Linked DNA regions of Daphnia pulex. Each later gene encodes a partner of the first gene's protein in a complex. Links are inferred from orthologs where the notes say so. Each region holds a gene or a part of one and is shown on either strand. Other genes may lie near its edges.

The links.
Region 2: the proteins of dihydrolipoyl dehydrogenase, mitochondrial-like (region 1) and lipoamide acyltransferase component of branched-chain alpha-keto acid dehydrogenase complex, mitochondrial-like are in contact, whole or in part, in a crystal structure (PDB 3RNM), measured with the Homo sapiens proteins. The link is inferred for Daphnia pulex from reciprocal best matches to the Homo sapiens genes DLD and DBT. Residues at the interface, in NP_000099.2 of Homo sapiens: Ser446, Thr447, Asp448, Arg449, Glu472, Tyr473, Gly474, Ser476, Glu478, Asp479, Arg482; in NP_001909.4 of Homo sapiens: Thr174, Pro175, Ala176, Lys196, Arg199, Leu201, Lys202, Glu203, Leu206.

Annotation. Positions count from the first base shown.
Region 1 is NC_060019.1:6,199,886-6,204,698, forward strand, and holds dihydrolipoyl dehydrogenase, mitochondrial-like, read left to right. Parts: upstream 1-1,531; 5' UTR 1,532-1,636; coding exon 1,637-1,678; intron 1,679-1,869; coding exon 1,870-2,140; intron 2,141-2,199; coding exon 2,200-2,375; intron 2,376-2,439; coding exon 2,440-2,610; intron 2,611-2,698; coding exon 2,699-2,920; intron 2,921-2,990; coding exon 2,991-3,127; intron 3,128-3,199; coding exon 3,200-3,389; intron 3,390-3,444; coding exon 3,445-3,582; intron 3,583-3,650; coding exon 3,651-3,740; intron 3,741-3,808; coding exon 3,809-3,877; 3' UTR 3,878-4,006; downstream 4,007-4,813. Other genes in the region: dnaJ protein homolog 1-like, read right to left, coding at 1-246, 309-687, 754-978; tRNA-dihydrouridine(20a/20b) synthase [NAD(P)+]-like, read right to left, coding at 4,025-4,242, 4,320-4,355, 4,419-4,627, 4,694-4,813. UniProt on the Homo sapiens protein: Lipoamide dehydrogenase is a component of the glycine cleavage system as well as an E3 component of three alpha-ketoacid dehydrogenase complexes (pyruvate-, alpha-ketoglutarate-, and branched-chain amino acid-dehydrogenase complex).
Region 2 is NC_060026.1:4,119,281-4,124,201, forward strand, and holds lipoamide acyltransferase component of branched-chain alpha-keto acid dehydrogenase complex, mitochondrial-like, read right to left. Parts: upstream 3,409-4,921; 5' UTR 3,329-3,408; coding exon 3,269-3,328; intron 3,193-3,268; coding exon 3,005-3,192; intron 2,940-3,004; coding exon 2,755-2,939; intron 2,693-2,754; coding exon 2,553-2,692; intron 2,489-2,552; coding exon 2,207-2,488; intron 2,141-2,206; coding exon 1,932-2,140; intron 1,863-1,931; coding exon 1,670-1,862; intron 1,588-1,669; coding exon 1,516-1,587; intron 1,453-1,515; coding exon 1,285-1,452; 3' UTR 1,041-1,284; downstream 1-1,040. Other genes in the region: pumilio homolog 3-like, read right to left, coding at 3,566-4,390, 4,462-4,643, 4,710-4,920. UniProt on the Homo sapiens protein: The branched-chain alpha-keto dehydrogenase complex catalyzes the overall conversion of alpha-keto acids to acyl-CoA and CO(2).

The sequences.
Region 1 (4,813 bases):
AAACTTTGGAAGTGTAGCGCAGATCGCAGCCATCCCTCTTCAACAGCCCGTGAGGTTTGTCTCGTATGATGAAAACAATATCTGCGGGTATCTTGTTGGGCGTCTGGTCCCCTTCTCGCTGGAACGTGATTTTTGTTCCTGCTTTCCAGCCTGGCTTGACGTTTATGGTTAATACTTTGTCTTCTTTTTTAGACGTGCCATCTGCCTGGTAAACTTTGCGGGAGATTTTCATCTTTTTGGTACATCCTAAAAATAGCCAGCAAAGTAAATCACAAATCCAAGAACTGAGTATTACAAAATAAATTTACCTTTAAGAACTTCTTCTAATGTGACGTTAAGGTCGTATTCAATGGGCGGATCTTGTACTTTCTCTTTTCCCATTCCTGGCCCGTGCATGTTGAAACTCTGAGATCGGAAAGCTCCCCCGGGATTTCTTCCTCCAAATCCCAAGTTGATAAAAGGGTCATCCACGTCCATGTCTTCACCACCTTCTGGAAAGAATCCTCTGTTTCCACCTTGCTGCTGTTGACCCATTCCACCCATTGTGAAGAAGGATTCAAAAGGGTTGGATGAACCGAAAAATTGAGCAAACGTGGCCCTTGGATCACCATGATAGGCGTAGGAAAAGCTGGCACCCGGACCGCCGCCGCCTCCTCCTCCGCCGCCACCACCACTTCCCAATCCACCCTTTTTAAGTACAAATATGATGTAAAAACTTAAGTCATTTAATAGGAGAATAGTTCATTTTCTTACCTTTAATCCTTCTTCTCCATACTGATCAAAGACATCTCTCTTCTTTTTGTCACTTAAAACTTCATATGCTTCTGCTACCTCCTTAAATTTGTCTTCTGCACCTGGTGCTTTATTTTTATCAGGGTGGTATTTCAATGCCAGTTTACGGTATGCCTTCTTGATTTCATCATCAGTAGCTGATTTTGATATTCCAAGAATTTTGTAATAATCTTTTCCCATTTTCATGAAGGAAGCCTAGAATGTATTGGAAAGTGAAAACTAAACAAAAGAGAACTTGATTAATGGAGGGTAATTGGATTTTGCTTGGGGATAACTGAATTTTAAAAAACTCAATATGTTTAAAATAATCTAAGTAGGAAATTCTTAAGGAAAAGAGGGAGAGTAACAAAACGGTGTGATGCGTGATGCCCAAAGAAGGTCAACGATTCAGGGTCGTCGATGACGTCGACTTCTAAGTTTGGACTGTGACACAATTTAACCCACCACCAATACGTACTAGTTAAAACGTTTGATTATTACCTTTCTGTATTACAGAATAGTAGAGCTTGGACTCGAAACACTTAAATGATAAAACGTTTGTTTTATTGGAACACTAGTTGTTCGCAAGAGTAGATTTCTCGACTTAATCGACTCGTACAAGTCACAGCTTCAAATAGCGAGAAAATGAGCCCCAGCGAGTGTATGTATCCGTTTGTTATGAATCGAGAACGTTCTCAAATAGTCTGGAAAACACGTTTCCATCTCCTGGTGGAAAGAAAAACAATTTGTAAGTTTTAACATAGTTCACCCTTTCTAGTACAGATGGTGATAGTGTCGCTGAACAGCTGAACAACTTCTGACCGCTGGGAAAAAGCTCGTGAAATCGTGAAGAACTAAAATAAAAATGCAAGTTAATATTTTGAGTAAATTGCCTCAAAATCTTAAGGTATTTCCATTGCATTCAAAAAATTATCTATTATAAAAATTTAAAAAGTATTTCGTCACCGTACTAATGCGATTCAACGTATTTTAACTGTTTATTGGGGACCAAGACATGTTGAGCCTTCTTTTTTCTTTAATCTGGTGTAGCTATTAAAAAGAATAAACTTATTATGTAATATCTTTTCTTGGTTACAGGTCACTGCAGCTGTCAGGAACCAATTAGCTAACTGCAGATGGTACTCTGACAGTACTGAAGCTGATCTGGTGGTCATTGGCTCGGGCCCTGGTGGTTATGTGGCAGCTATCAAGGCTGCCCAGCTGGGAATGAAAACAGTCTGTGTAGAGAAAAATGCAACCCTTGGAGGCACTTGCCTTAATGTTGGCTGCATTCCTTCCAAAGCACTATTGAATAATTCTCACTACTATCACATGGCCCAAAGTGAATTCAAAAATAGAGGAATTGATGGTGATTAATTATTTTAAGATTTATAATGTGAACTGAATTAAATCAATACTTTTCTCTAGTTACTGGCCTTTCATTGAACCTTCCTCAAATGATGAAAGCAAAAGAAACAGCTGTGAAATCTTTAACTGGAGGAATTGCTCATTTATTCAAGAGCAACAAAGTGACACACATCAGAGGACATGGTAAAATTACTGGTGCGAATGAAGTTACTGCTCTTAAAGAAGATGGAACCCAGGTATTAATTAATAATATTAACTGTGTATTTCATGGAAAATTCTATTTTGTTTTCATCTCGGTAGGAAATCGTCCGAACCAAGAATATTTTGATCGCAACGGGATCAGAAGTGACACCATTCCCCGGAATCGATATCGATGAAGAACAAATTGTCTCGTCTACTGGCGCACTTTGTTTAAAAACCGTTCCAGAGAAAATGATTGTCATCGGAGCAGGAGTCATTGGTTTGGAATTGGTAACATTTACTTTATTTGACATAAAAAAGCTTTAAAAAAATAATATTTAAAAAAAAAAAAAATTCTTAATTAATTAAATAATTATAGGGATCAGTGTGGTCTCGACTTGGAGCCAAGGTGACGGCTGTTGAATTTATGAATCAAATCGGTGGTTTGGGTATTGATCAAGAAATGGCAAAATCGTTCCAAAGAATCCTCACCAAACAACACATGCAATTTAAATTGGGAACCAAAGTGTTGGGAGCACAAAAATCCGGCGGAAAAATCATTGTGAACGTCGAAAATGTCAAATCTGCCAAGAAAGAAGAGGTACTAAACAACACCTCTCCCCTATCCATGGACATACCGTTCTAATTTTATCATATGCCTGATAATTCAGATGGATTGCGACGTTCTACTGGTTTGTGTTGGTCGCCGTCCCTTCACGAAGAGTTTAGGTCTTGAAGAAATGTCCATCGAACTCGACCAGAGAGGAAGAATTCCGGTCAATTCACGTTTCCAGTCCGTTGTCCCCAAGTGAGTATCACCTTACTTAAACGTCTCGGTATAGTGTGTTCTGTACTACATGAAATGTGTTAAACTCGGTAGCATCTACGCCATTGGTGATTGCATTCTCGGCCCCATGCTGGCCCACAAAGCTGAAGATGAAGGCATTATCTGTGTCGAAGGAATTGCAGGAGGATCCGTTCACATCGACTACAACTGCGTACCTTCCGTCATTTACACACACCCTGAAGTTGCTTGGGTTGGAAAATCCGAAGAGGACTTGAAATCAATGGTAATTTCCTAATATTTATACCCTTTTTTAACTTATCATGCTTTATTGAATTTAGGGAGTTGAATACAAAATTGGTAAATTCCCCTTCGCCGCCAACAGCCGCGCCAAGACAAACGATGATACCGATGGTATGGTTAAAATCTTAGGAGACAAGACTACTGATCGCCTTCTTGGAGCTCACATAATTGGACCCGTACGTTATCTTTTGTTTCTACCATGTCATTTAAATTGTAATAAATTACATTTGATGATATTATTCAGGGTGCCGGCGAAATGATCAACGAAGCCGCATTAGCCATGGAATATGGTGCTTCCTGCGAAGACATTGCCCGCGTTTGCCACGCCCATCCGGTATACTAATAATTTGAATTATTGTCCAAGAAAATATTTTCGTCTAACTTCGTTTTTCTCATTTACAGACCTGCTCGGAAGCACTGAGGGAAGCCAGTCTCGCAGCTTTCTCCGGCAAAGCCATCAATTTCTCATAAGCGTTAGCAAGCTTAGATTATAATATAGATAATTCTATGGATTCCCCCATTCTTTAACTGCAGTCCTTGTATGAGGTTGTATGTGTGTAAAAAAAGAAACAAGCTTAAATATAAACGCCTAACATAAAATTCAACCGAAATCATTCTTTATTCACATAAAGACAAGTAATTTTCCATATAGTCGATCACGGCAGTGGTACTGGACAGCGCATTAAAATATCTCCTGTCGACTCGTGACATATTTTTCTCGCACATGTAGATGAGATGATGATGAAAGTGAGTGAAGGAGATACCAGTTTCTAAAGAAAGCTTCATCCAGTCTTTGATGCACTCGATGGGAGTTTCGGAGAATCCAGCAAACATTGCTAAACAAACAGTAGCAAAAGCCAAAATATTAAATCAAATGCTATAAGAAACATGGAGAATAAGATGTTTCAATTACCTGGATTTTCTAAGATTCCTCTAGCTGACATGACTCCTAGATATTTAAAAGAAGGGTAATGGCAGTTCCAGACTGTCCGTAATCATATCGACAGTTTACCGTTGACGTTAGTTATTTGTTGAACGTGCTCAGCATCTTGAAGGCTACAAATATCTCCATTAGCTATCACTGGGACCCTAACACTTTCTTTGATCAATTTTACACCCTCTAAATTAACTGGATCAGATCTCTGATCTTTGGTTCTACCATGAACTGTTAGAAAGGATAGACCTGCTGCCTCCACTTGTTGACACAACTCCACTGTTTTTCTAGATAATATTTTTAAAAAAAGTTCATATTCACAATCTGAAGTGAACTTTTCTGAAATGTTGTACCTTATTTCAGGATGAATTCGAATTTTTATAGAAACTGTAAAATCATTTGAAGGAATCCTATTTCTTGTCTGCAGCACCACATCACGAAGTAGTTCCGGTTTGTTTATCAAACAAGCACCA
Region 2 (4,921 bases), on another chromosome or scaffold:
TAGTCTGTGATGTTGTGAACTCGATTAACGGAGAGCGGTATCATTTCAGATGATTTGATTTCCCCTGTCTCGACTATAGACACCCAACACAGGCAGCACGGGGTGTGGGTCAGTGCGGTCAGGCGGTATACTTTACACGCAACAGAATGAACTATTCAAGGAGATCTACATTTCAACCTACATAGGTTGGGTTGTTGTCACAGTTGGAAAATATTACATTTCATCTTTCCTTTCCAGTGTAAATTTAAATTTCACAATTTTGGGTTTTTGTAAGGCCCTCAACGGTCCGGTGCAACCGTTCGGTTGCCGGGACCGGTCACCCCCTGAAAAAATCCTAAAAATTTCGGACCGGGCCACAGCAACGCTATTTGACATCAGATCTTCTAAAAAAGATGAAAACATGTTTAGAGAAAAGGCTAAAAAACATTTCCCAGCCCGCCTAGACCTGATTTCGTTTATTTGGCGGGGTTGTGGCTTCATTCGATGTAATCCATTATCCCGCTAGGGGGCTCGTTGGCTTAGACGGTTATTGTGTAGTTACTGTTTTTTGTGTTTGGTTAGGTTATTTAACGATTTTAGGGAGTATTTGAATATTTCATTCGGATTGAGAAAGTCATTACAAATGTTTCTGTTTTGCGCACAACAAGCTTCTCTATTTGCTCAATTTTAAACCGACGCAACCGCGCACACCGAACCGAATCGTAAGTAATTGGGTGATTTACTATTTCTGAGGGAAATTCCCAAAACATTACGAAAACTTACGAACAGGTAATTCATGACAGATGACAGATACGTTGGTTTTCTTAACCTAGCGGGCAGACAAGTGGGCCACTGACCAAGTCCGTCTCCACTATCTCCTGTTAAAGTTGCATCACATAAAGTAAATAATATTAAAAATTAAACATGGCATTACTAGTACAAGAAAATGTTGTTCACACTGGATAAATAGTACATAAAACTACAAATTCACAAACACAGTCATATTGTTTGTTTAATTTAAAATATTAAACTTAAGTAAAAGAAAAACATTTAAAAGAAAATTTCACGTGTAGGACTAATCTGTTATCTTAGTGAAATAACAGATAGGCAGTATATTATATCAAGTTTCTTTTTTTTTCATACACTGATGATCATACTGACCATATGACTGAGTCCCATGCTGTTGAGATTTCACTTCGCGACCATTATACACTAATATAGATCCTCTTTTATTAAATTTAGAAACGTACCCTTCCGCCAGGAGGACACGGATTGTAGAGTACTTCATTATTAGTATTTGAATATTCATTTCAAGTCTAAGATCATAATGCTGGGATTTTCTAGATAAGCCTTCCACAAATTGGAAAATCGCGCCATTGAGGCGCCATCAATCACTCGATGGTCAGCAGACCAACTAACTTGCATGATGGATGCTCTCACCACCTCACCTTTGTTGTTGAAACGAGGAAGTACCTAAACAATTCAATACTACTGAATCATCTGAATAATTAAAGGTTGCCGAAATTTAAAAACTACCTGGACACGTCCTATTGCTCCAATAGCAACCTCCGGCGGCATAATGACGGGTTTGGCATAAGTTCCTCCTATCTGAAATTAAAAGGGAAAACGTTTTAAACGAGGAATTTATAAAAAGTAATCAATAAAATATATTAAGAGATTTATATCCAACCGATCCAATGTTGGATAAGGTGAAAGTTCCACCGGTTAAATCTGCAGTGCCCAAAACTCCTTTATTGCCTAGCTCCTGCAGCCTGGCTAGTTCGATAGCAACATCCATCACAGACAATGATTGGACATTTTTTACATTCGGCACAATTAAACCGAGACTCGTATCCATGGCAAATCCAATATTATGAGAGGCTCTAAATAAAAGAAGTTCAATAATTATTTACGTGAGAAAGAAACTTTTTTTTTTTTTTTTGGTTACATACTTGTAAGTAATATTTTCGCAAGCTTCGTCAACCGAAGCATTAAGAACTGGGAACTGTTGCAGAGCCATGGATGCAGCTTTAATGAAGAATGGCATGAAAGACAACTTAATGCCTCGCTCTTTAACCATTGGATTCTCTTTCAGAGAATGTCTCAGCGTAGCCATTGATGTCATGTCAATTTCATCACAATAACCAAAATGAGGAATTCGCTTTAAAAAATAAATATCTTGAAAATTATGAACCGAAAATATGAACGTGAAATCTCTTGATCATACCAGTGCATTAGTCATGGACTTTGCCATAGCCTTCTTAAATCCTTTAATCGACTCAGTGCGGTCCACTCCAACCGGACAGGCTGGTCTCACTTGCTGTGGGCTTTTTGTTGAAGGCGACGGCTGTTGGGAGGTAGCTGCAACAGGTTTAGGTTGTTCCTGGGGCGCCTGTTGTTTAGCTTTCGGGGCGCTCTTAGAGCTACGAAGAGTTTCAATGTGCCGAAGCATATCTTCCTTCAAGATACGTCCGTCTCTCCCACTTCCTTGTACATCTCGTAGATTTATCTATAATATTAAAACCAAGTTTTACTGACAGAATTTCTATTAAAGTTCAGTCGCTAAAACATACCTTATGATCACTGGCCATTTTTCTAACAGATGGTGTTGTCAATACCTTTTCTGCTGGAAGTTCTAGAGTATCCAAACTCTCGTCTTCTCTTTCACCGAGGGGTATGGCATCTTTTTCTTGCAACTCTTCAACAGGCTCTTCTAAAAAAAAAAACTATAAGCAACACAAAATCAAGTGAAACAAGAATCACTGTTTTTTGTACCTGTGACTGAACCACTGACTTCTATATCTACCAATGGTGTACCCACTTTGGCCATATCGTCTGTAGCATAATGCAACTTGCTAATGATTCCATCATAGCGACTGGTAATGGTAACTGATGCTTTGTCACTCTGAACTTCACAGATGGGGTCAAACTGAGCCACTTTATCACCTTCCTTGACATACCTTTAGAATTGATTTCAATCTCATATAAATACAGTGAACAATAAATGTTAAACAAAGACTATTACCATTCTTTAACCGTAACTTCCGTGATTCCCTCTCCAATATCTGAAAGTTTGAAGGGTACTTTCTCTCCATAAAAAGGTTTCGAAGAATGAAAAAATCTAGTAGTTATTGGATGAAATTGTTCGACGTGACCGCAGGGTCCGAAACGAGAAATAAGCAATGGAACGGCATTGTATTGCAATCGTGATTTCTAGGTGTTATTTAAAACGGGATAAATTTTTAAATTATTCTATCGAATCTAGTTGACAAATTAAAAATCTAATTACCAGGTAGAACAACTTATGTTGTCGAAAACTACAAACAATTCGTCGTGAAGCAGAAGCCATGTTTACTCGCAGAGGAAAAATTCTACACTTATCACGTCCGACGGAGAGAAGATGGCGCTGAGCACACACTTATATTTATTGAAATTATTTATAAAATAATAATTTAAAATAAATAAATTTGCAAATATGGCAACACAAAATTCTTATTTGTTTTAAATTAAAAAAAAAATACAAAATGTTCCAGAAATTATTTTTTATTCCAATGATTTTTTTTCGATTACAGTTCAACAGTGAAGTCTAGATTGGTTCCAACTTCGCCAATTTGGAATCAAGGATGTCAGAGCCTTTGTTGGTTTGTTTTTGTAGAAATTTCCTCAAATTTTTAAGTTTTTCTAAAACTGCTTGTATGACACTGTCAATTTCGGTTTCAACCATTCCAACGAGCAAGAAAGAACCGCGATTGCAGCTTAGCCAACCTTTAATCTCATCAGAGTCTACTTCATCGATGATTGCCTGGCTAAAATAGGGAGGTTGCGTTCGTAGCTTGTCAAACTGAATTAGCTTTTTAACCGTCATATGAACAGCCGACTGTTCAACCCAATATTGAACTTTTTCGCCACTAGAGCTAAACGCGTTTCTCAGATCTTGGTCGAGTGGGTTACCAATAACTGAAGCCACTGCTTTAAAAGCAGCTTGCAATTCTTCCCCGACGCAAAATTTGAGAATGGAGCCAAGAACAAGACAGTTTTTGCTATCTTTCAACCACATTTCAGGTTCGTGTGAGACAGCTTCCAACCAGGAAGGGGAGGCATACTGGAGAAGTTCCTTGTGACGAGTTTCCATATCTTTCTTGCTGTTGGGATTACCGTCTCCTTGCTTCAATATGTCAATAATCTGTGGATGGGTGAACTTGGGATCGCGGCCAGCAAGCAAGTACATGACAACCTTTCGGCCGTGCTCGTGAACAGCAATCTCTCTCCAGTTGGTAGCAATTTCTGTGACAATAGCTTTGGCAACGAGTTTGGTGTCATCCACGGAATCGAAAAGCGCCATCAGCACCATGTGGCCGTGCTCCTCTAAGCAGATCTTGGTTACGTGACCTTTGAAACTTTTGATGATATCCTATATAATTTTCAATAGACAGGCGGGTGAGATATAATTTCGAACACAAAATAAATAAAATTTAAATTTACCTTTCGATCTTTTTGGGTACCATACCAGAGGCACGTCATTCCAACTCGAGCTCCATCGCGAGTGTGCAAAACTTGAACGACTGCCTGACGAAGACTTTGGATCATTTCAGAGCGTTCATTCTCTTTGCAGTGAGTAAGGTACTCATTAGTCAAACGATGCAATAAACTGTGATTGAAGACACCTTTTCCAATTAAAAAATCGATTAGACGGTTGAATACAATCGAATATTGGTATCAAATCAACAAACCTTTGGCAATGATTGGTTCGATGGCCTGGTTCATATGCTTTAGGAATACTTCTCTCTTCTCGGGATGTTTAGCCAGAGCGGCACTCAACGTAGTAATGGACTCATCTTTAAAAAGTTTAAATTCAGGTCCATAAAATTCCTGGCTCAGCAGAGCGCGTTGACTTGCGTTAGCCCAATCGTTGTATGCCGTTTCAACCACTTTGGAGGCGAAC